Linked DNA regions of Kluyveromyces lactis. The main gene of each other region encodes a partner of the protein of the gene in region 2 in a complex. Links are inferred from orthologs where the notes say so. Each region holds a gene or a part of one and is shown on either strand. Other genes may lie near its edges. The genes, in order: VMA7 and VMA22.

Evidence for each region.
Region 1: the proteins of VMA22 (region 2) and VMA7 are in contact, whole or in part, in a cryo-EM structure (PDB 8EAS), measured with the Saccharomyces cerevisiae proteins. The link is inferred for Kluyveromyces lactis from reciprocal best matches to the Saccharomyces cerevisiae genes VMA22 and VMA7. Residues at the interface, in NP_011927.1 of Saccharomyces cerevisiae: Tyr17, Leu20, Leu24, Tyr27, Leu31, Leu34, Gln35, Phe38, Tyr42, Leu45, Ser46, Tyr60, Gly61, Glu62, Trp65, Asp66, Glu67, Thr68, Tyr69, Ile70, Gly71, Gln72, Leu73, Met74, Ala75, Val77, Val86, Ile88, Lys92, Pro132; in NP_011534.1 of Saccharomyces cerevisiae: Glu3, Arg5, Thr6, Ile8, Glu14, Asp15, Thr16, Thr17, Thr18, Gly19, Leu20, Leu21, Leu22, Ala23, Gly24, Ile25, Gly26, Gln27, Ile28, Thr29, Pro30, Lys35, Val39, Gln41, Ala65, Ile66, Leu68, Asn70, Ala90, Ile91.

What each region holds. Positions count from the first base shown.
Region 1 is NC_006040.1:369,449-379,490, forward strand, and holds VMA7 (H(+)-transporting V1 sector ATPase subunit F), read left to right. Parts: upstream 1-4,678; coding exon 4,679-5,035; downstream 5,036-10,042. Other genes in the region: KLLA0_D04356g (nucleobase:cation symporter-2 family protein), read right to left, coding at 1-1,829; post-initiation translation factor DPC29, read right to left, coding at 3,192-4,094; CHS5 (Chs5p), read right to left, coding at 5,183-6,751; succinate dehydrogenase flavoprotein subunit SDH1, read left to right, coding at 7,976-9,931. UniProt on the Saccharomyces cerevisiae protein: Subunit of the V1 complex of vacuolar(H+)-ATPase (V-ATPase), a multisubunit enzyme composed of a peripheral complex (V1) that hydrolyzes ATP and a membrane integral complex (V0) that translocates protons.
Region 2 is NC_006039.1:1,285,773-1,295,795, forward strand, and holds VMA22 (Vma22p), read right to left. Parts: upstream 6,025-10,023; coding exon 5,512-6,024; downstream 1-5,511. Other genes in the region: SUM1 (Sum1p), read left to right, coding at 1-1,234; RNA-binding RNA processing protein RPP1, read left to right, coding at 1,676-2,533; KLLA0_C14740g (uncharacterized protein), read left to right, coding at 3,054-3,614; GIC2 (Gic2p), read left to right, coding at 4,086-5,192; SRB7 (Srb7p), read left to right, coding at 6,245-6,676; PMT7 (putative dolichyl-phosphate-mannose--protein mannosyltransferase), read right to left, coding at 6,941-8,830; KLLA0_C14850g (uncharacterized protein), read left to right, coding at 9,381-10,023. UniProt on the Saccharomyces cerevisiae protein: Required for V-ATPase activity.

The DNA.
Region 1 (10,042 bases), on a different chromosome or scaffold from region 2:
TCTTCCTTTAATTCGAATGATTGAGGATAAGTGATTGAATCTTGTGCTGGATGTGCGGATTCCGATGCCGCTTCTTTAGCTTTGTGACTCAAAACACGGAGCGAGAGTGGTTGATCATCTTCTCCTTCAAGCATACTCAGATTTTCTTGTTGAATTTCAATATCGTCCATCAGTTCTTCATCCAATTCTTGTGGTAGTAGTTGGTTCATTATAACACCAACGATGGCACACACAGCGAAACCCGATTCCATGATCAAAACAATAGCATTCAAGAACCCTTGTAGAGTGTTATTGGAGCCGTTGTAATGGAAGAAGGTACCAAACCAGGTTGGTACGAGAACGGCGCCGATACCTAGTGCTAGAGAGCAAGTCAAAACAAATCTGTCACGTCTGGTCAAAGGTATTGTAGAGATAATCTTGATACCAGATACAGCAACCGATGTGAATAAGAATGTGGTCATCCCCCCTAAGACAGGTTTTGGAATTGCAACTAGTGCAGCTCCAAACTTGGCAACAATACCCATGAGGAACATAAAGAAACAACACCAGTAGCCGACTTGTCTGCTAGCACATTTAGTAATTGAAATGACACCATTGTTCTGTGCGAAGGTAGACATTGGGGTTATGGTACACAAACCAGAAAGAATACCACTGAGACCATCACAAAGCACACCACCTTGAATTCTTGATTCGTATTCAGCACCTTCCGTTTCCAATCTAGACACGTCACAAGTAGCTGTCAAATCACCCATAGCTTCTGTTGCCAAGACGATATATAAAACTAACATCGGCAACACAGCAGGTCCATACACCGAAAGCTTAAACGTGTGAACCCAGATGAATGTTCCACCAGGAGCAGCATCTATGGAGGTTTTGTTAAAGTAGCCACATGCTGCAGCAACGATACAACCAACCAACAAACCAAGGATGACAGCACATGATTTCATGATTGGAGCACCGTACTTCTCAAAGATGATAATAGTGGAAAACACCAAGAAACCCAAACCGACGAAACGGGCAGACCCCCAGTCACCTGCCATGGGAGCACCTTCTGAGGGACAAATGGCACCAACACATCCTGAACCACCGGCCCAGTCGCTGAACCCTGATTTGATAAGACTGAAAGCGATACAAAGAATGACGGGACCTGTGACAATCTTTGGAAACAAGCTTTGTAAAATATTAGCCGGAGTGAAGGACATAGCAACTTCGAGCAAACCACAAACACAGGCGGTACCCAAGATAGCACCATAGCCATCAGGACAAGCTAATTGCGTGCCATCTTCGGACACTGGGCAAAATCCTGTATCATACATCATGGGGAAAACATTTCCGACCAAAGTAATACTAGCGAATGAAGTACCTAGCACAGAAATAAGACCAGAACCCACGTAGTATGAAGTAAATGGGATAGGGACTCTTGTAATTTGTATGGCTGACATGAGACTAGAAACGATCAACGAAGCTGAAACCAAATATTCTTGAACACTCTGATCGAGGTTTATCATTGTTGATATCAAAATTGGAGGCGAAATGACACCAGCCAACATAGACAACGAGTGTTGCAACCCAAGAATCATACCTAGTACAACGGGAACGTCAGCATTAAGTGAGAAAAACGGTTGATCTCTATGAACAAGTTCGACACCTCTTTTCCTTGCTAAATACTCTTGGAATGGATACGAAGGAGTGAAAAGGAAAGCGTAATCATAGTCACCTAGAAGACCATCCTTGGTAGTCCATTTTCTAACCACTTTTTTCACAACATCCTTCACAGGTGCTCTTTTCACATTGTCCTGCTCTACAGCATCGGCCAAAACTTGATCCATCTTTGGGGTTATAATATATCAAACTGTTTGGTTACAGAAGCCTTACTTCCTTCTAGAATTCCCACTTGATTCAAACTGAATACTCTTACTGTTATACGAGATCACAAAACAGAAAGGGACCATTATTCTGTCAAACTTCTCCATATATGTATGTGAGTGCAGATCTGCTGTTTTGTAGTTGTAATGTTTCTATATCTTTTAACTTTCCTGGGAAACTATCTTTTCTGATTTCATTAGTTAAATCCTTATCTAAGTGATTCGCAGGACTCCGAAGCAAAAATAAGGGAAATGTTCGTGGTTTAGACAAAGGAAATGCTAGTCAATATGTGAAAAGAAAAGAGAATTTCCGAGTACACATTTACAAGCACTATCAGCCACCTCTTTTAATTCTTTGCAGATATCGCTAAAACGTCTATCGGTCAACTACTCAAATTGATTTGATCAACATAACTTTCGATTTTCAAAAATAAGCATAATATTTCTTCCTTTCCTATAGGTTTTCTCCGTCACAGTCAAAAAGGTAACGTTATAACTCTGACAAGAATCTGCAAGCTAATTGCAATCAGGAATTTCGACATGAGAAACCAAAAAAAGAAGGTGGAACTGTCGGTTTTTGCTATGCCTCATCGCATTGCAGTTCACCTTTAGCTCCAAGTGCTAATGAATTTCTTCATTTTTCTTTTTTTTTTAGCGCCTGTTATGCGTGTCTCTTGATCCGTCTCTAAGCAGTGAGAAGGATCCAACCATTGGGTAGTAGTTTGAATAAGTCAGTCAGGTGTTTGATAAACTTCTTTACTGGTCAATTTTCAATACAAACTAGATCTTAGTTAAGCATTTGTAAATAAGGCAGCTAAGCTGCTTAAAGTGAATGTTTTTCTGATAGTTTTCACTGCATAGTGCGGGGACTCACAAAGTGAAAACAAAAATTAACTACTGGGTAGTAAACTGACGTGTGGTTGCAGATAACGATTGAACGATGGTTATGACCGTTATCCAGTCTGAACCGTCTCCTCAGTATACAATCCACATTCTGATAAGAGATAATCATGAAGAGAAAGGGCGCATCCTCACTATCTTTTCCTGGAGAGGTGTTCCTTTCATGTTTTTTTTTTGTTTTTACCCTGGAAGAATGACTTTTTACTACGTTGATTTCTGTGTTCGAGGTGCGGCCATCCCCGTGTCTGAGAATTCAAGATGTCTATCGGCCTTGATGATAAACATATTCGACATGAGACCTATGGCAGACGTAAATGTGCACAACTTTGCAAGTGTAGGGAAAGCTCTTGATTAAATAAAGATATTTACATGAAAGTTAAGCGAAGTGAAGTAATTTGACAGAAGGTGTTTGTCTTGTTGTTATTCTTATTCTTTGATGTTGGAATAGATCTGCGTAACATCGTCGATTTCTTCTAATTGATTGATGAATTTCTCTAGCTTTGCATGTAATTCAGTGTCAGTGACGGGACTCATCGCTGTCTCTTCACGAGGAACATACTCCACTCCCATTTCTCTGATATGGAACCCTTGATTCCTCAACGTTTCAGCCACTTTGTTAGTCTGTTGAGCCTCTGTGATAACTTCGAATAGTGCGCTAGCATCATTACCGCTTGAATTCTCATCTTGCGATGATAGTGGTTCGCTTTCCCCAGTAGTATCTTCGCTGTTTGGAGTATCCTGTTCTAAATCTTCCACTCCATCTATTTCCAACACTATGTCCATCACTGAGTCGAAATCTCTGGGTTGATCTTCTTTAGGTTCAATGACAACGTACCCTTTCCTTTCAAAGAAGTATAAGGTCGGTGTCATGTTTCCATTGAATTTATTGAATGTAGATCTGATTAATCCCACGGTTCTGTTCTTGTTGTCCGTAAGTGCTTCAACGACAAATGCAACCCCAGCTGGACCTATTCCCTCGTATGTACATGGCTCTGCACCAGCGCTTGCGCCATCATTGGTACCTGAACCCTTTTTGATCGCATTTTCAATGACTTTCTTCGTCACATTGTTCTTATTAGCCAATTCAATGGCAGTTGCAAGTCTGATATTCATAGCAGGATCCGCAGATCCACCCAGTTTCACGGCGACAGAAATCTGATTAGCAATCTTATTGTATATCTTGGTTCTTTCAGCGTCGTTTTTGGCCTTTGTATGCTTGATGTTAGCCCATTTACTATGTCCGGCATTGACGACTCTGGTCCCGTGCAAAAACCTTCTGCTGAAGACACTCCCACTACCTAAACTTCTTGAAGCACTTATCTTTAACATGATTCACTTGATGTTTGATGCAATTTAAGCGGGTTAAGGTTCGATAGATGTAATACGATGATCACTTCCCGTTCCATTGGGGAATGTCGTTAAATCCATTTTTAAACTAAGGTCATCTCGACTACGTTTTTTTCACTTTTTCACTTCCCATAAATGTTGATACATAGTGAGATAAAGGTACTGTGGTCAAAAAGTGAGTTGTATACTTTCCTTAATCTGTTCTGCAGGCGGTGAAGAGGTGGAAAGATCTCCATAGAAGCCTACAATGGAAATATTGCTTCATACAGCATATTCCCATGATCAATTGGTAAATAAACGGAAAGGCCGGGTAATGTTTTCTTTTCATGTCTCCCCTTTCAATACGATTTCTTTTAATGAATATATCAATTGAAACATTACACCGAAACGAATTATTGGAAACTAGTATTTCATGATAACTTAGACAACTTTTCTCTGCTTGAAAGAATCCGAGCTGATCATATCAAATTAATTAGCACTCTTCGCTTTGGAAATATTTTCAGGGTTGGCAATCTGTGTTAGGAGTTAAGCCAATTGTATTTGGTATAGAAATATAAAGAGGAAGCATGGCTGACGAAAGGAATCTTATTGCAGTTATTGCAGATGAAGATACAACTACGGGACTCCTTCTAGCTGGTATAGGTCAAGTCTCTAAAGAATCGAAGGAGAAGAACTTTGTGGTTTACAACGAGGGTAAGACTACAAAGTTGGAATTATCTGATGCATTTGTCAAATTCACAGAAACAAGGCCGGATATTGCCATCTTGTTGATCAACCAGCACATTGCTGACCAAATAAGGCCACTTGTTGATGGTTACACGAATGCATTCCCAGCTATTCTAGAAATTCCATCGAAAGATCATCCTTATGATCCAGAGAAGGATTCCGTGTTGAGAAGAGTCAGAAGACTATTTGGGGAGTAAGGGTGTTTATTGCACCAAATGAGTAAGTACCGATGTATAAACTTTATAAATCTTGAAATACAAGAAACCAAAATCAAAGCATTAAATGTAAAATTGTTTATTAGTACATACAGATTGCAGATATTATACTGAAAGGATTGACAAATTTCATTTCTTGCCCTTCTTCTTCTTCTTATTCTTCTTCTTTGTATTCGTATTGTTTGCACCGGTTTGTGATTCTTTTGTGACATCTACAGCCTCTGGAGATGTTTCCTCTGTTTGTGGTTGTGTGAGATCAGCTTCTGTTTCACCGGCTTCTAGCGGAGTTGGTGCGGTTTCTTCAATTGTCTCGTTTGCTGTATTGTCTATTATTTCTGTTGGTTGCTCTTCTGCCGGGACTTCTACAGGAACTTCTTCTACGGATGCTTCGACATTGATCTCTTCTCCGACGGTAGGAGCTTCGGATGCTGGAGCTTCTTCTTCTTCTTCTTGTTTCAGCACTTGTGGCTGATCAGTTGGCGGTGTTGCCGCTTCTGGTTCTTCATGTGAAGATAGTGTCTCTGGCTCTTCTTCTACCTTTTTGGATGCTTCTTGTGCTTCTTGTGGAGGTGTTACCTCTGAGACAGCTGGTTCTGTTTCTTCTGGGACAACTGACTCTGGTTCTTCTTGGACAGCTGGTTCTGTTTCTTCTTGGACGATCAGTTCTGTTTCTTCTTGAACGACCGGTGCATTTTCTTCTGGAGCTGGTTGTGTTTCTTCTGGAACAATTGGTTCAACTACTTCTACTTCTTTTGCAGTCGTTTCTGTCCCATCTGGAGATGTCGCCTGTTCTGGCTCCCTCTCTGGTGCAGTTTCCTTCAAGGCATCACCTGACGAAGGTGCAGCTGCTGTGAACTTGTAATTTAAGAAATTGGATGGATCTGAATCCAGGTAGAAATCTCTGACACCCACGATTCGTTTTTCCAGTTCACAGGCCCTAATCCATTCAGGTCTGACAATTGGTATATTGTTATCTCTAGCATGAGCCAATTCCTCATCGGAAGTAACGCCTTCGCTATCTTCGAACTCTGTTGCAATGAAATGTGTAGTCTCTAAAGTGACATGATCTTGTAAAGGTTTGGCACCGATATTTTGCAACGATCTTTTGATTTGATCAAGTGAAATGTTATCCCCCAGCTTGGTGTTAGGTCCTACACATGCAGTAATACCGGACATATCAGTCATCTTGTGGGTATGCACCTTCAAAGTATTGGACCAGAATTTTCCTGAAGTGGTATTCAAGAGTAACTTGAACTCGTATTCGAAGTCTACCGAGAGACCAGAAATCTTAAGGCTGTTGTTATCAGTAGTTCCATCCCGGTTTGATCCTGGAGTGATTACTTGGTGCCTATTTCCTTGCTTGTACAAGATTAGCGATTTCAATTGAGACGAACCCAGATGGATTGGGTCCCAATGGATAACGCAACTTGTTTGAGTAGCATTCGAGAGATGTAAAACGGGCTCTGCTGGAGGATCGGTACCATACTTGGCGAGAATTTGTTCTTGCACACTTTGAAACTTCTTTTTCTGTTTAATCTCTTGTTCTAAGTCTTGTTCAACAGTAATGGTAACGACAGACCCTGCTTCCACTGATTCTGGTAATAAAACGGTAGGAAATTCGATAACGTAGTGGTCTGCAGTCGTGAGAATGGCGAGCGACGCGTCGACTTTCCCGACGGTGAGCGATACTTCGACCATAATTGCTAATTGAGGGGTCTAGTGCGCGTTAAGCCTGTGTAATTGTGCACTATTTTCCCTTTGACAATCTGTTGTTGTGTATATTCCATAGATTCGAACTTGTATATGTGTGCTAAAATCAAATCTGATATATAAAAATAACGAAACAGGAAGAAAAGTGGGCAATTCTTAGGGGCGTGTTACCCGGGGTATAGTTTTTTCCTTCCTTGGACCCAAGTATGTATTACCCGCATTTTGATATATTTTGAAACCAATATCAAATTAAAGTCACGTGAGAAAGTGGACGGTACACTCACGTGACATTGATTACTCATCGGTCTGTAATTTTGACGCCCAAAACTCCGGCTCCGATAGGAATGATCGCACGCATCGCGTACAACTCGAATCCAGGAATCAAGGTTTGTAGAAAAACACACACACGCGTCTGCACCTGCCTTTTCCACCCCGGGTAATACACTTTGGTTACCCGTCCTCCTCGAAATGTCCCCTTAGACCGAGAACGGGACCCGTTACCGCCAATCCGTGATCACGAAACAGTAAAAACTCTCAGAACCGCCCGCAACACCTCTGTTTCTCGGAACAAATCGGAGCTATTTCCCCTTCCCCTACAGAATCCTCCATCCTGGTCTCTCCGTTGAATGAAACAGAGGAAAAAAATGCCTAACGGGTTCGTCAGCAACAGCGGTACACCACATACCGGACAGCGACTAACTCTTCCATTCGGTCAGTCATTTTTCAAATCTGTGCGATTCCATTTCCCTTCAGACGTTAATTATGTATTTGGCTTTGGTTTTTCCTGTTTTTTTTAGTTCTTTGAGTGTTTAAAACTGAACAGAAATTGTCGTATTATTATTTATTTCGGTTTGCATAAATATTTCAATACATATATATATATATTACATATATAGCTATATATATAATGTTCAACATAAGACAACTTTTTCTCCTTTAATACTAAACTGCTAGAGGATCGTAATTTTTTTTTCCAAGACGACAGATAAATTCTTTTCATTCCCACTTCCGGATCCCCTGAATTATTCTTCTTGCCAGGTGACTTTCTGCTTTTGACCTTTAAAAACGGACGTCTCAAAAACCGAAGCCGAAACCGAGACCGAAACGGAGTATTTATTATACTAGGAAGGTAGTAAAAGTAATACGGAATTGGAACTGGAATCAACAGCGAAGAATTTTTTTTGCAAATATTCATCATTACACTATACACATATGCTTAGAACAGTAAGAGGAAGGAGAGTTGGCCTTGCTCAGGCCAATTTCAAATCATTGGTGCAAGCCAGAAAGTTTAGCTCTCAAATGGTTTTGAGACAAACGATTTCGGCCAATGGTGACATCAATGGACAGCAGCAAGAGGCTGGGTCATCTTCCAGCCATGGATATAACATCATCGATCATGAATACGACTGTGTCGTTGTTGGTGCTGGTGGTGCTGGTTTACGTGCTGCTTTTGGTCTTGCAGAGGCTGGATACAAAACTGCATGTATTTCTAAGTTGTTCCCTACTAGATCTCATACCGTTGCTGCGCAAGGTGGGATCAACGCTGCGTTGGGTAACATGCATAAAGATGATTGGAAATGGCATATGTACGATACCGTGAAGGGTTCGGATTGGTTAGGTGACCAAGATTCGATTCATTACATGACTCGTGAGGCTCCAAAATCTATTATCGAATTGGAACATTTCGGTGTACCATTCTCAAGAACCGAAGAGGGTAGAATTTACCAAAGAGCCTTTGGTGGTCAATCCAAAGAATATGGTAAAGGTGGTCAAGCTTACAGAACTTGTGCCGTCGCTGATCGTACCGGTCACGCTTTACTACATACTTTGTATGGTCAAGCTTTAAGACACAACACCCATTTCTTTATTGAATTCTTCGCTATGGATCTTTTGACCCATAACGGTGAAGTCGTTGGTGTTATGGCTTACAACCAAGAAGACGGTACCATCCACAGATTCCGTGCTCACAAGACCATTATCGCTACTGGTGGGTACGGTCGTGCCTACTTCTCTTGTACATCTGCTCATACTTGTACAGGTGATGGTTATGCTATGGTTTCTCGTGCTGGTTTCCCATTGCAAGATTTGGAATTTATTCAATTCCATCCTTCCGGTATCTACGGTTCCGGTTGTTTGATCACTGAAGGTGCTCGTGGTGAGGGTGGTTTCTTGGTTAACTCTGAAGGTGAACGTTTCATGGAACGTTATGCTCCAACTGCTAAGGATTTAGCTTGTAGAGACGTTGTTTCTCGTGCCATCACCATGGAAATCAGAGAAGGTAGAGGTGTTGGTCCAGAAAAGGATCACATGTTCTTGCAATTGAACCATTTGCCACCTTCTGTGCTTCATGAACGTTTGCCAGGTATCTCTGAAACTGCAGCCATTTTCGCCGGTGTCGATGTCACTAAGGAACCAATTCCTATCTTACCTACTGTCCATTATAACATGGGTGGTATTCCAACTAAGTGGAACGGTGAAGCTTTGACTATCGATGAAGAAACCGGTGAAGATGTTCTCATCCCAGGTCTACTTGCCTGTGGTGAAGCAGCTTGTGTCTCTGTTCACGGTGCTAACAGATTGGGTGCTAATTCCTTGTTAGATTTGGTCGTGTTCGGTCGTGCTGTCGCTCATACTATCGCTGACACTTTGCAACCAGGTTTACCTCATAAGCCATTGCCAGCTGATTTGGGTAAGGAATCTATCGCTAACTTGGACAAGTTGAGAAATGCTACCGGTCACAGACCAACCGCTGATATCAGATTGGCCATGCAAAAGACCATGCAAAAGGATGTTTCTGTGTTCAGAACTCAAGCATCCCTAGATGAAGGTGTCAAGAACATTAACGCTGTTGATAAGACTTTCGTCGATGTTGGAACAACAGACAGATCCATGATCTGGAACTCCGATTTAGTCGAAACTCTAGAGCTACAAAACTTGTTGACCTGTGCTACTCAAACCGCTAAGTCTGCTGCTGAAAGAAAGGAATCTCGTGGTGCTCACGCTAGAGAAGATTATCCTGAAAGAGATGACGTTCACTGGATGAAACATACCCTATCATGGCAACGTGATACCGGTGACGATGTCGTCTTGAAATACAGAAAGGTCATCGCCACCACCTTGGATGAAAAGGAATGTCCTCCAGTCCCACCAACTGTTAGAGCTTATTAAGCAGTTTAATTGTGTCCTTTTTTCTATCAAATATTGGGATGTACAAAGGATGGGTAAATGCTTATTACTATTCTTCATCGGTCTCCCCCCCCCCCTAATCTTTCTTTTTTA
Region 2 (10,023 bases):
CATGCCAAATTCGACTCCTCAAGGATCTGCAGACGCATTACCAAGTTCTCAATTATCTGTTGATTCGACAGAAAACTCGCAGGATAACTTTTCCGTCACCACTTTACAATCTGGTGGTGAATCACCAAATAAGAAAAGGCATCTAACATTGCATGATCGTCGAAAGATGAGCAGGATGATTCCGATGTTACCAGAAAAGAAAGATAAAAGGGGAAGACCAAGCTCTAACAATCAATCCCAAGAAAATGCAGCGTCTTTGTTAATGTCATCCCCTGTGGAACTTTACTGCCGTGAAGGTTTTTTTTATAGAAAAGGTTCTACAATTCCAATCACAGCGGGAGAGTATTTGGATTTGAAGTTCAGACACAAAGAAGACGAATTGATTAAATTAACAATGCATGAAGAAGATTACGCCGAGTTAACAAGACAGGATAGAATCAACGCGTATTTCCTTAAACCAGACGTTGAGATTGAAACCTCAATGGCTTGTCAAGTTTTGTCCAATGTCATATTAACCGAGAGATACGTCAATTCATTAGAATATTTCCTGATGGAATTCCGTTGGGAGAATAGATTGGTAAGTTTAGGTCTAAAGCTAAGAGAATCTAAGAGAACTTGGCAAAGACGGAAAGCCTTATTTGCATTATTTGAGTTTTGGAGAGACAAGTCGAAAGATAAGAGAGGTTTCCACAATTATACATTGTTGCATGCAATCAAAGAAATGGAAAATTACAGAGTCTTCATCAATAGGTCGGTTTCATGGTTTTACAACCACATTACCCTTTTAAAAATGATTCTTTTTGATTTATGTGATAATACGAATACTCATTGGAGAGAATGGATGTTCGCCAGAGGCACTGAACTACCGCTTGTTGGTAAAAATGGCGTCGATGTCATGAATATTAATAGAGAAATCGATAATATTTTGGTTCTTGATTTCCTAGAAGATGGTAGCAAAAATTCAAACAAGAAATCAAGTTCTATTCCATACAAAGAAAACAGTGAAGGCCCTCTAGAACAGCCTTATGTTACGAATGATGTTCCCGCAGACAAGGGAACAAAGGAATTACACACTGAGCATGTCCAACAACAGTCAGAAACCCCAGTTCCGGAACTGGCTGGAAATAGAACTGAAGAAAATACAAACCATGCTACTGGGGCGGTAGCTGTAAATCAAGATCAGCACTTACCTTCTTTACCGAAAGATTCAGAAGATGTGAACTCTACGCAATGATATTTATGCACATAGATCATAATGGTTCCTTTTTGGGCGCTGTTTTTCATCAAACCTATTTTAACGGACATTTTATCACTTTATGGAACAAATAGTAAGGTATGTACTCTATAAATAAACTGACAATTATTCTATTTAGATAATATTGTTCTCATACTCAAAAACATTGTGACATGGCCGATTGGATGAAGTTTAAAGTTGTATTTTTCAACAGTTGGGCTTTCAAGTAAGGATTGTACTTCATAGTATGTTATAATATCTTCAAGTATAATTTTTTCGGAAAAGACATTACAATAATCTACCAAAAAAAAAATCTAGTAAATAATGAAACATGAGCATGAGATGAGGTATGCTGGACACTCAAATGGAAACAAAAGTTTCTGTTGAATCACTTGTAAATACTCCTTCCAAATTTGCAAAGCAAAATAGCTATTTGAAAGGATGTTAGTTGATTTAAACGTTCCTTGGCCACAGAAGGATTTTGCAACACCGCCTTCCACGAAGGAGATTAAAACGCTGCACAAGACTCTAGCGACATTGCATACACTAGGGTACACTCACATAGCTTTAAATTTCACAGTAAACCAACAGGATAAATTCCCAAAATCAATCAATGATATGAATCCTATCGATCTATCGCATTTTGATGAACTAGTGAAATCTACGGGATTAAAGCTATATACAAGAATCACAATTATTATAGATGACCTTTCAAAAGGCCAGCCGTTGACAAAGATATCGCAAGCTTTCGATATTGTGGCAGCCCTTCCAGTCAGTGAAAAGGCTGTTACTCTCGTAACGTCTAGCTTGGATGTTGATGTGCTATCATTTTACTACGACAAAAGGCTTCCTACACTTTTGAAACATCACATGATGGGGGGTTGCATTAAGAGAGGAGTCAAAGTAGAAATTGTTTATGCTAACGCTCTTCGAGATATCAGAACACGTAGGCAGTTCGTATCTAACGTGAAGAGTGTGATCAGAACTTGCAGGAACAGAGGAATCGTGGTCAGTAGTGGAGCAACCAGCCCACTAGAATGTCGTAATGTCATTGGAGTTACAAGCATTTTGAACTTTATTGGGCTTCCGAATGACAAATCTCGTAAATCCATGGGCGAGCTTGCTAGTTTGGTACTTCTAAATGGTAGATTAAGAAATAAGAGCTATAAGCAAGTCATTTGTATTGGTAACGAAGATGTAGTCAATGAAGATTTTACACAGAATTCATCGTTCAAAATAGTCAAAAGGAAAAACCCAGATACACTGGAAAGTGATGACTCGAAAAGAACAAAAAGCTGAATTACCATGAACTTAATTTTCATACTGCACTTCTACTGTTGAATCTCTCGAAGCATTCAATAGTACCGATAATACGATATATAATAGATTTTATATTTATATAAGGAAAATAGTACAATAAGCATTAAGCAAAAGATGGATACAAGGTAAATTTAGGAAATTATGGGTAAGAGTAATGATATCGGTGATTTCAATCCACTTTGAGTTCATCTTTAACATGTCCAATTTTACGTTTAGTTTCCAAAGTCAAACTTACTATCAAGTTCTAAACCCAAAGTTATTTTTCATTCTAATATCTGTAAAAAGAGCAGGTTACTGTTACCCGCAACACATACATGGTGTAAATCCGATCAAAAGCTCAGCGGCTATTGAAAAGAGTATAAAAGTATCCAGCTTGGAGACTTTACGATTTTCTTCTTCGAATCATAAACCGCCTTACATAGAAACGGTCTATTATATAAAAAACACAGACAGTACGTAAGGCAGTAACTTGGGAAAACAAGTGCCACACAAAGTTAAAATGGGCGAGGTGAAGAGTTACTTACGAAAATGGAGACGCTCTTCCATTCTTAAAAGAAGCAGTTTGAAGGATAAACGGAAAGAAAATTGGGAACAACGTATAGAGAAGTCCTTGAGCGAATGCGATGACATTAAAAACTTATTGGCTGGTCGTCCAACGACACCTGATATTGCAAGAACGAATAATAGTACATTCCTTTCCAAGCGCTCTAGGGCTTTTGTTACAGAACCGTTATCGAACCAAGAATTGGATAAAATCAAATATATGAATTTTGCAATGGAGAGAGATTATAGAGCAGGTACTAGGCCAGTGATACCGAGAATGGATTCAACCAACAGACGAAAATTGAGCGTAAATCTCACCCCGACATCGATTTCAGCAGATGACTCCGAGAATAATGCGATAGTGAAAGACTTTTCTGAGTTCATTGAAATTTCTTTCAATAGTTTGAGCATTTCCGATGAATACACACCCCAACCAAGCTTTTCCAAAGAGTCCGAGGAACCTAGAACCGCCAGTTCTAAGAGTCTAGAAAGTCTATGGAGTAAAAATGTGAAATAGTCGTAATTGGTAACCATGTTGGGTCAACTAATGACTTATCTAACCCACGAAAAAAAGCCGTAGAAACTTGAGAAAAAATAACGGCCGCCAAAAGAAAAAAAGAAGACATGAAACCCAAGAAAAAAGAAAAAACCGGATTGGCGATGGTGAATTAGAGAGGTTAGAAAACATTAATTTTCGATCAACGAAACGTATCTGCATTCCTGAAGAGGGTGCGAAAATGAAAAATCGTGTTTTTACCTAATATAGGAATTCCTAAATTAACTGAATCCAGTAGTAGTTAACCATAGATGCGAAAAATGTCAGAAAATTGTGAAACCTAGGAATGCATGAAACATTACCACTGTGGACGCGGCCGATATATGTATATATAAACGGATAAACATGATCCAGGGTACAAAGGCCATGATTTGAATCATCAGAAACCAGGCATTGCCGAATAAAACAACCAACAGATCTGGGCCAATACTTATGATGAACGTACCTCAGATCAAGTCGATCTGGCTCGATGAAGACGATGAAACAGAAAAATTATATGGTTTACAAGCTCACCAGCTTCTGGATTCTGACGATGATGATGAATTGGGCGTTGTAATGATCAATAGTGATAAACCTGTCTTAAGTAATAGGAAAAACATTAATCTTCCTCCATTGCCGCCAAATGCGTATGATAAACAATCTGGAAAGAAATCTTTCAAGAAGAAGAAGAACAGCCTCTTAAAACTGTTTCAAAATAAATCAAGTAAAGAAGAACCTCCTAAGTTAAAAATTTCTGTCCCATTTGGATTTAATCACATCTCACATGCAGATTCTAAGGCAGGATTTGAAATGCCTACTGCAGATTCACCACCACCATCTAACAGTCACTTACAGGATATACCGGAAAATACCAAATTTCCGACAAACTCAACAATCAATTCCCCAACGCAAATGACTAAAGCTTTCGTAACAGATGCAATTCCATATGCTAAACACCATCTGGTTTCTAGAGGGTCATCTACAAAACGTTCTTCGGTTGGATCCAGTACGTACTCGAACCAAAGAGTGACATCAACTTCAACAATGGCTACCTCCTTGCTAAACGATTCGCATATGCGTTCCATTTCAAAATTAACTACCCTAGAGAAGACACATTTGAAGCATAAATATTCTCAATCAGATGCCAGTGAAGTAGATGTCGATTTCCTAAAAAACTATCAGTTCCCAACTTTGCTAGAAGAACAATCAATCCTCCAGGTATCAACACCTGAAACGGGAGACAAGAAAATAGACAAATTCCAATGGGAAACACCAGTAAATTCTGCGGATCTTTTAGAGACTATGCTTTTGGATGACTTGAAATCAGTACCAAAAAAATCAATTACACCAAAGCACTCATTGAAAAGAAACTCTGATCCAATTCTGACACCAATTTTAAGGCCATCAGAATACTTAGACTCTCCAAGAACCAGAAGGTCAGTTGATGATGTTTTATTATGCTATCTACAGCCTAGTGATGCTGGATCGTCATTGGATGAAAGCTCTAGTGAGTTTTCCTACGCTAGAAATTCAAACATTTACTATAAATCTATTCTATGATCTTCACCCGTGGCCAGGGCCATTCCATTCACTTTCACAATTGTTCTCAAGAAAATATACCCATCTTTCACTCGTTATTGCATTTACTGAAATCAGCTCTCTTTTTGATACAGATTAACCCTTCGTCGTTCATTTATTAATAATTAATCCCCAATCTGCATGTGTACAGATATACACTCATTGTACGTCTTTCAATTGGCGCCATCCAACGTTATTTTCGTTTCCAGTAAACTGTTCTTTCCAAATTAGCAATTGTACAGATAGTTTTCTTTTGTATTAACTCTGATATAAGATCATTCCCATAGCAATTATAAAGTTCTTAAGCTGAATTTGACAGAGTCCCTAGTGCGTCAAGTAGACCATTAAGAGTACGTCGAAGTTCTAGTAGTTGATAAAGTACCGGCATCGAAGCTTTGAAAGATAATTGACATTGTTTCAAAGAGCTTGGGATTGAAAGGGCACCTCCGAACATATATATAGGATCCTTCTTCACCTTTGCCAATAGTTTTTCTCTTTGTTTTCTCTTCTTTAAATTCTCATTGGTTGCTTCATCTTTCTCAGGAATGATTTCTTCGTCATTGGCAATATGCAACGGCTCTTCAGTCTCCGAAACAGAGTGCTTGTCATTAATGGAGATATACCTGTTTCCTGTATAAGTTTCGTCCCAGTAATCCTTACCATATGATCCTCGAAGTGTGTTCTTATTGTGATAATTCGCTCTGCTCAACTGATGGTAACCTTCTTCAAAACTAGCTTGCAACTGCTCTAATAGAGAATCATAGGTTGCAAGATTCTTAACAATGAGTTGATATATGTCATCCTCCGTCATCATTGGTTTCCTAGCGTCTATTAATATCCAAATCGTGGCAGTTTCTTCTCATATTACGTATATTATTCAGTCATAAACGTTTTAAACCAAACTTTTGAAGTTGTCTGAAATATTTGTAACTTAATCATAGTCAATGATTTATATAAACGAATTCGAAGGTGAAAGAAAGTTAGCAATATTGCGACAAACCAGCTCCAGTAGAGGCAAGGAAGAGTGTACAAAAATGACCGATAGATTAACCCAGTTACAAATATGTTTGGACCAAATGATGGAACAATTTTGCGGTGCAGTAAATTATGTCGATAAGAACCATGGTTTTGAACCAAGTAACGATTCAGAAGAGCAGATGTCAGATCCTCAGGCCCACATTGTTGAGGAAAAGGAATTTGAAAAGAACATAGATGAATTGACAACAGACATCATACTTAAAACAAGGCAGATAATGGCTCTAATAGATTCTCTACCCGGAGTAGACGTATCTGCACAAGAGCAACTACATAGGATAGATTCACTACAGAAACAATTGATCAAAATGGAGAAGGAAAAGATAGACGCGATAAAAAGGAAGGACGCTTTGCAAGAAAAAGTAAGAACACTTACCCAAGACTTTACGATTGGCATTAATGAATCGAAGACAGAAGCACGCTTAGTATAAGAAAGGAATCATTTTGAAATCTTCGGTAGAAATTGGGTCACATGTTAACGTCAAATTGCGAGTAAGAATACTTTTACATAGTGTCTAATGTATCAAGTGGTATATAGTAGATATTTAGCTTCTTTTCCTTTTCTTCTTCTCCGAAACGATGTCAGACAGATTGTCTGACATCGTTTATTTTTATAATGACACGCAACATCATCACTAAACATAGCATCCGCATGCCCCGTCATGCCACCACCGCTCGCTGTGATATTCTTGGTTCTATAACACAGAGAACTGTGAAAGAATGATCACCGCAAATAATAGAGAGGGCATATACTGGTTAACGGAAAGATTTCTGTGCAGGCTGTAAGTAAAAATGTATAAGTGCAGGATCCAACCTAAAAATGCCTCCAAGGTGACTTCTCTTTTCATTAATTGGTTTGCAGTGGTATTAAGTAAAGTATCTTCAAAAATATTCCAAGATAACCAGGAATATGCTTCCATGAAAGTGTACACGCCCACAGATACCGTAGAAGTTATCCATAAGATTTTACCGATTTGGTTGTTATTGTCGAAAAGAATCGGCCAAGACAGGCAATCAGGTGGAGACATGCTCGTATTATCGATGTTTTGCCTTTTGTTCAATCTGAATTGACCAACAACGTACTCAAAAGCCAATTTATAGAAAGGGTATTCAGGGGCCCATTTGTATTTCTCAACAACTCCAGCCTCAGGCGAGCTGACAAAGTCAATATAAAACAATGCTCTATTGACTCTGGCAGGATCGACACAGAGAACCTCTTGACGCCTGTCACCCCAATGCGGAATTTTGATTTCATGTGAAAGCAACGAACAACGGCGAGCTGGATTCTTTAAAACAATGAATTGTTTGAAAGGTCTCAAAACTTCTCTGAATGATGCTTTCCCTTGAATTTCAATTTTCCATAATTCATCTTGATCCCCTTGATAGTCACTGTCACCCGTTACTGATATTCTCTTATCATATTCTTTGTCTGATATTGGAGGTTTTTCCTCAGAAGCTCTCAATAATTGACCTGTTTTCTTGTTTCTCAACTTCACCTTGTCCGTTTGTTTTACTAATGCGTTCGAACCTGTCTGTTCAGTGTTTCTTCCTTTATTAGATTCAATGATCCAAAAGTTAGCCTCATCATCTGGATCGTCAGAAACTGTTACCAATGTGTCGTTAGATTTAGGGTATGGTATTTCTAAGGCTGATAGATATCCGCCCAAAGAATTAACATGGCGAAGCCTAATTGAACTGCCGTAAATGATGGAAGATGGAATATCATTGTGCTGGCTCATCGAATAATGCTGGAAAGATGACGACATGTACGCTATTGAGTTTGACGATGTTGTGAAACCACCAATTAATGATGAGTAAGAGTACCATAAAGACATCAAGGGAATAACGACGAAGAACAATAACCTACAAAACATAATGGCAAAAAGTTGTCTGTTTTTAACATCCAAATCACCCACAACAATCCAAAGTGATTTCAAAGAAACTATAATGAGCCATATCCAAGAGACCAACCCTATGAATTTCCCACTTATAACGAAAATCAATGACATCGAAACAAGTGTTATATTCATGTACCAATCGACGGAAAAGTCTTTGGAGGCCTGAAATTTCCTCCAATGTAAGATTAGCAACGTTAAGGCTAGCAAATGATAAGAGTCAAAGTTGAGCGTATAAATTAAATCTTGGAAACTTGATATCTGCGAGAACATTATCGTTACTAGGAAGCTAATCATTACTGACACGCTAGATTTCCTTAAAATACCGTATAACGTTACCAGGACGCTAGCCAAGACCACGTTATTTGCTGTTTTCCAGAACTCAATATTCAAAGAGTACATATCAGTAAGCTTCGCCAGCACCTCAATTAATGTTGGTACACTGGTTGCAATGAAAAACTTACCCTTTATTCTATCAGTAATTTGATTCCAAATCTCAAACTCACTAGTAGAAATATCGCCATATCTATCAGAATGAACCATTGAAAGATAACCAACTGTTAAAGCACTCAATGCCAGGTCCCAGACGAGGCTATCTTCATATGGTAGCGAATCACCTTTGATAAATGACTGGTAATCATGTTTGATATAGGCTTTAAATCTGCCTTTTCGAACTGGGTTTGTACTCATCGTTAATCTCTGACCAGGATTGATCTCTACCTAGCAACAGGATCCCGTGAAGTACACTAAAGATTGATATTGTTTCTAGCCAATGAAAACAAGCTTGTTTGGATCGAATGTGGTAAGCATCAGTTCACTTTCCAACGTTAATCGAGGTTCCTTTATTTTTGTATCTAAGGTGGTCATATGAATCTATTATTAGTTGAAATATTTCAAAGTCAGTTCAAATGACTGTCACGTGAGAGAATGATCTATTTTAGTTTCGCAGCACGATGGATGCCACCGTGAACCTCCACGCATACACTGAAAGCAACTCGGAAGTTAATAAGCCACTATCGATCCAATAGATTCATCAACAGGTTTGTTCTCGAGAGCTTTTTCGCGTTTGTGTTTGTTCGAGTTTTCAAATTTGACACAAAATATTCAATAAAGACGTCAGTTTTATCAATATCGTAATCACTAAGGATGTCTGTCCAAAAACAAAACGGCTTGAACCTGAAACTAAACTTATGAATAGCCAATAGTTCAGAGTAATTTCAACCAAGTCATCAACTATACAATGAGTAAACCCAGGCTTGGAAATCCGAATAAGTTGCCACATGCTCTTGGGCGGCAGTTTCTAGATGAAAATTCGAGCACAACGACAGATAGCGAAAAAGAGAGTTTTGACTTCACAGCATTGATGAAGAGGTTGAAAGAAACCAGGAAGACTACAATGCCAAGAAGAAATACCAAGGAAAATTTGTTGGCCACTACTCAACATGATTTGAATGAGTATCCTTATCCAATTAACAAAAACAATGAGAATCAGAATTTGGAAATGAATAATAGCGATTTTGATAATGATGATAGCAAGGAAAACGATACAGATTCCGAGATAGAACTGTCATGGAGGCCATTAGATGAGATTGAATTGAAAAGAAGAGCCATTAATAAAACTGATAAACTTTTTAAACCGATGGGTGATTTGAATGGCGAATTTACATCTGAAAAGATAAGTGAAAAATGTGCTAAACTTCTTGGGTATCCTCTTCCTGATTACATCAAACGTCCACAAAGAGTTAGCTTAGTTGAAAAAGGGAATGTCATTGAATTCAAGGACTATCAAAATCAACAGAAGTCCCTTTTTCACAATAAAGATTTCAAATTCGAGTATCCTGTGAAGCGTGGACATGAAGAGGGTGAGGACGATAAAGAGTACT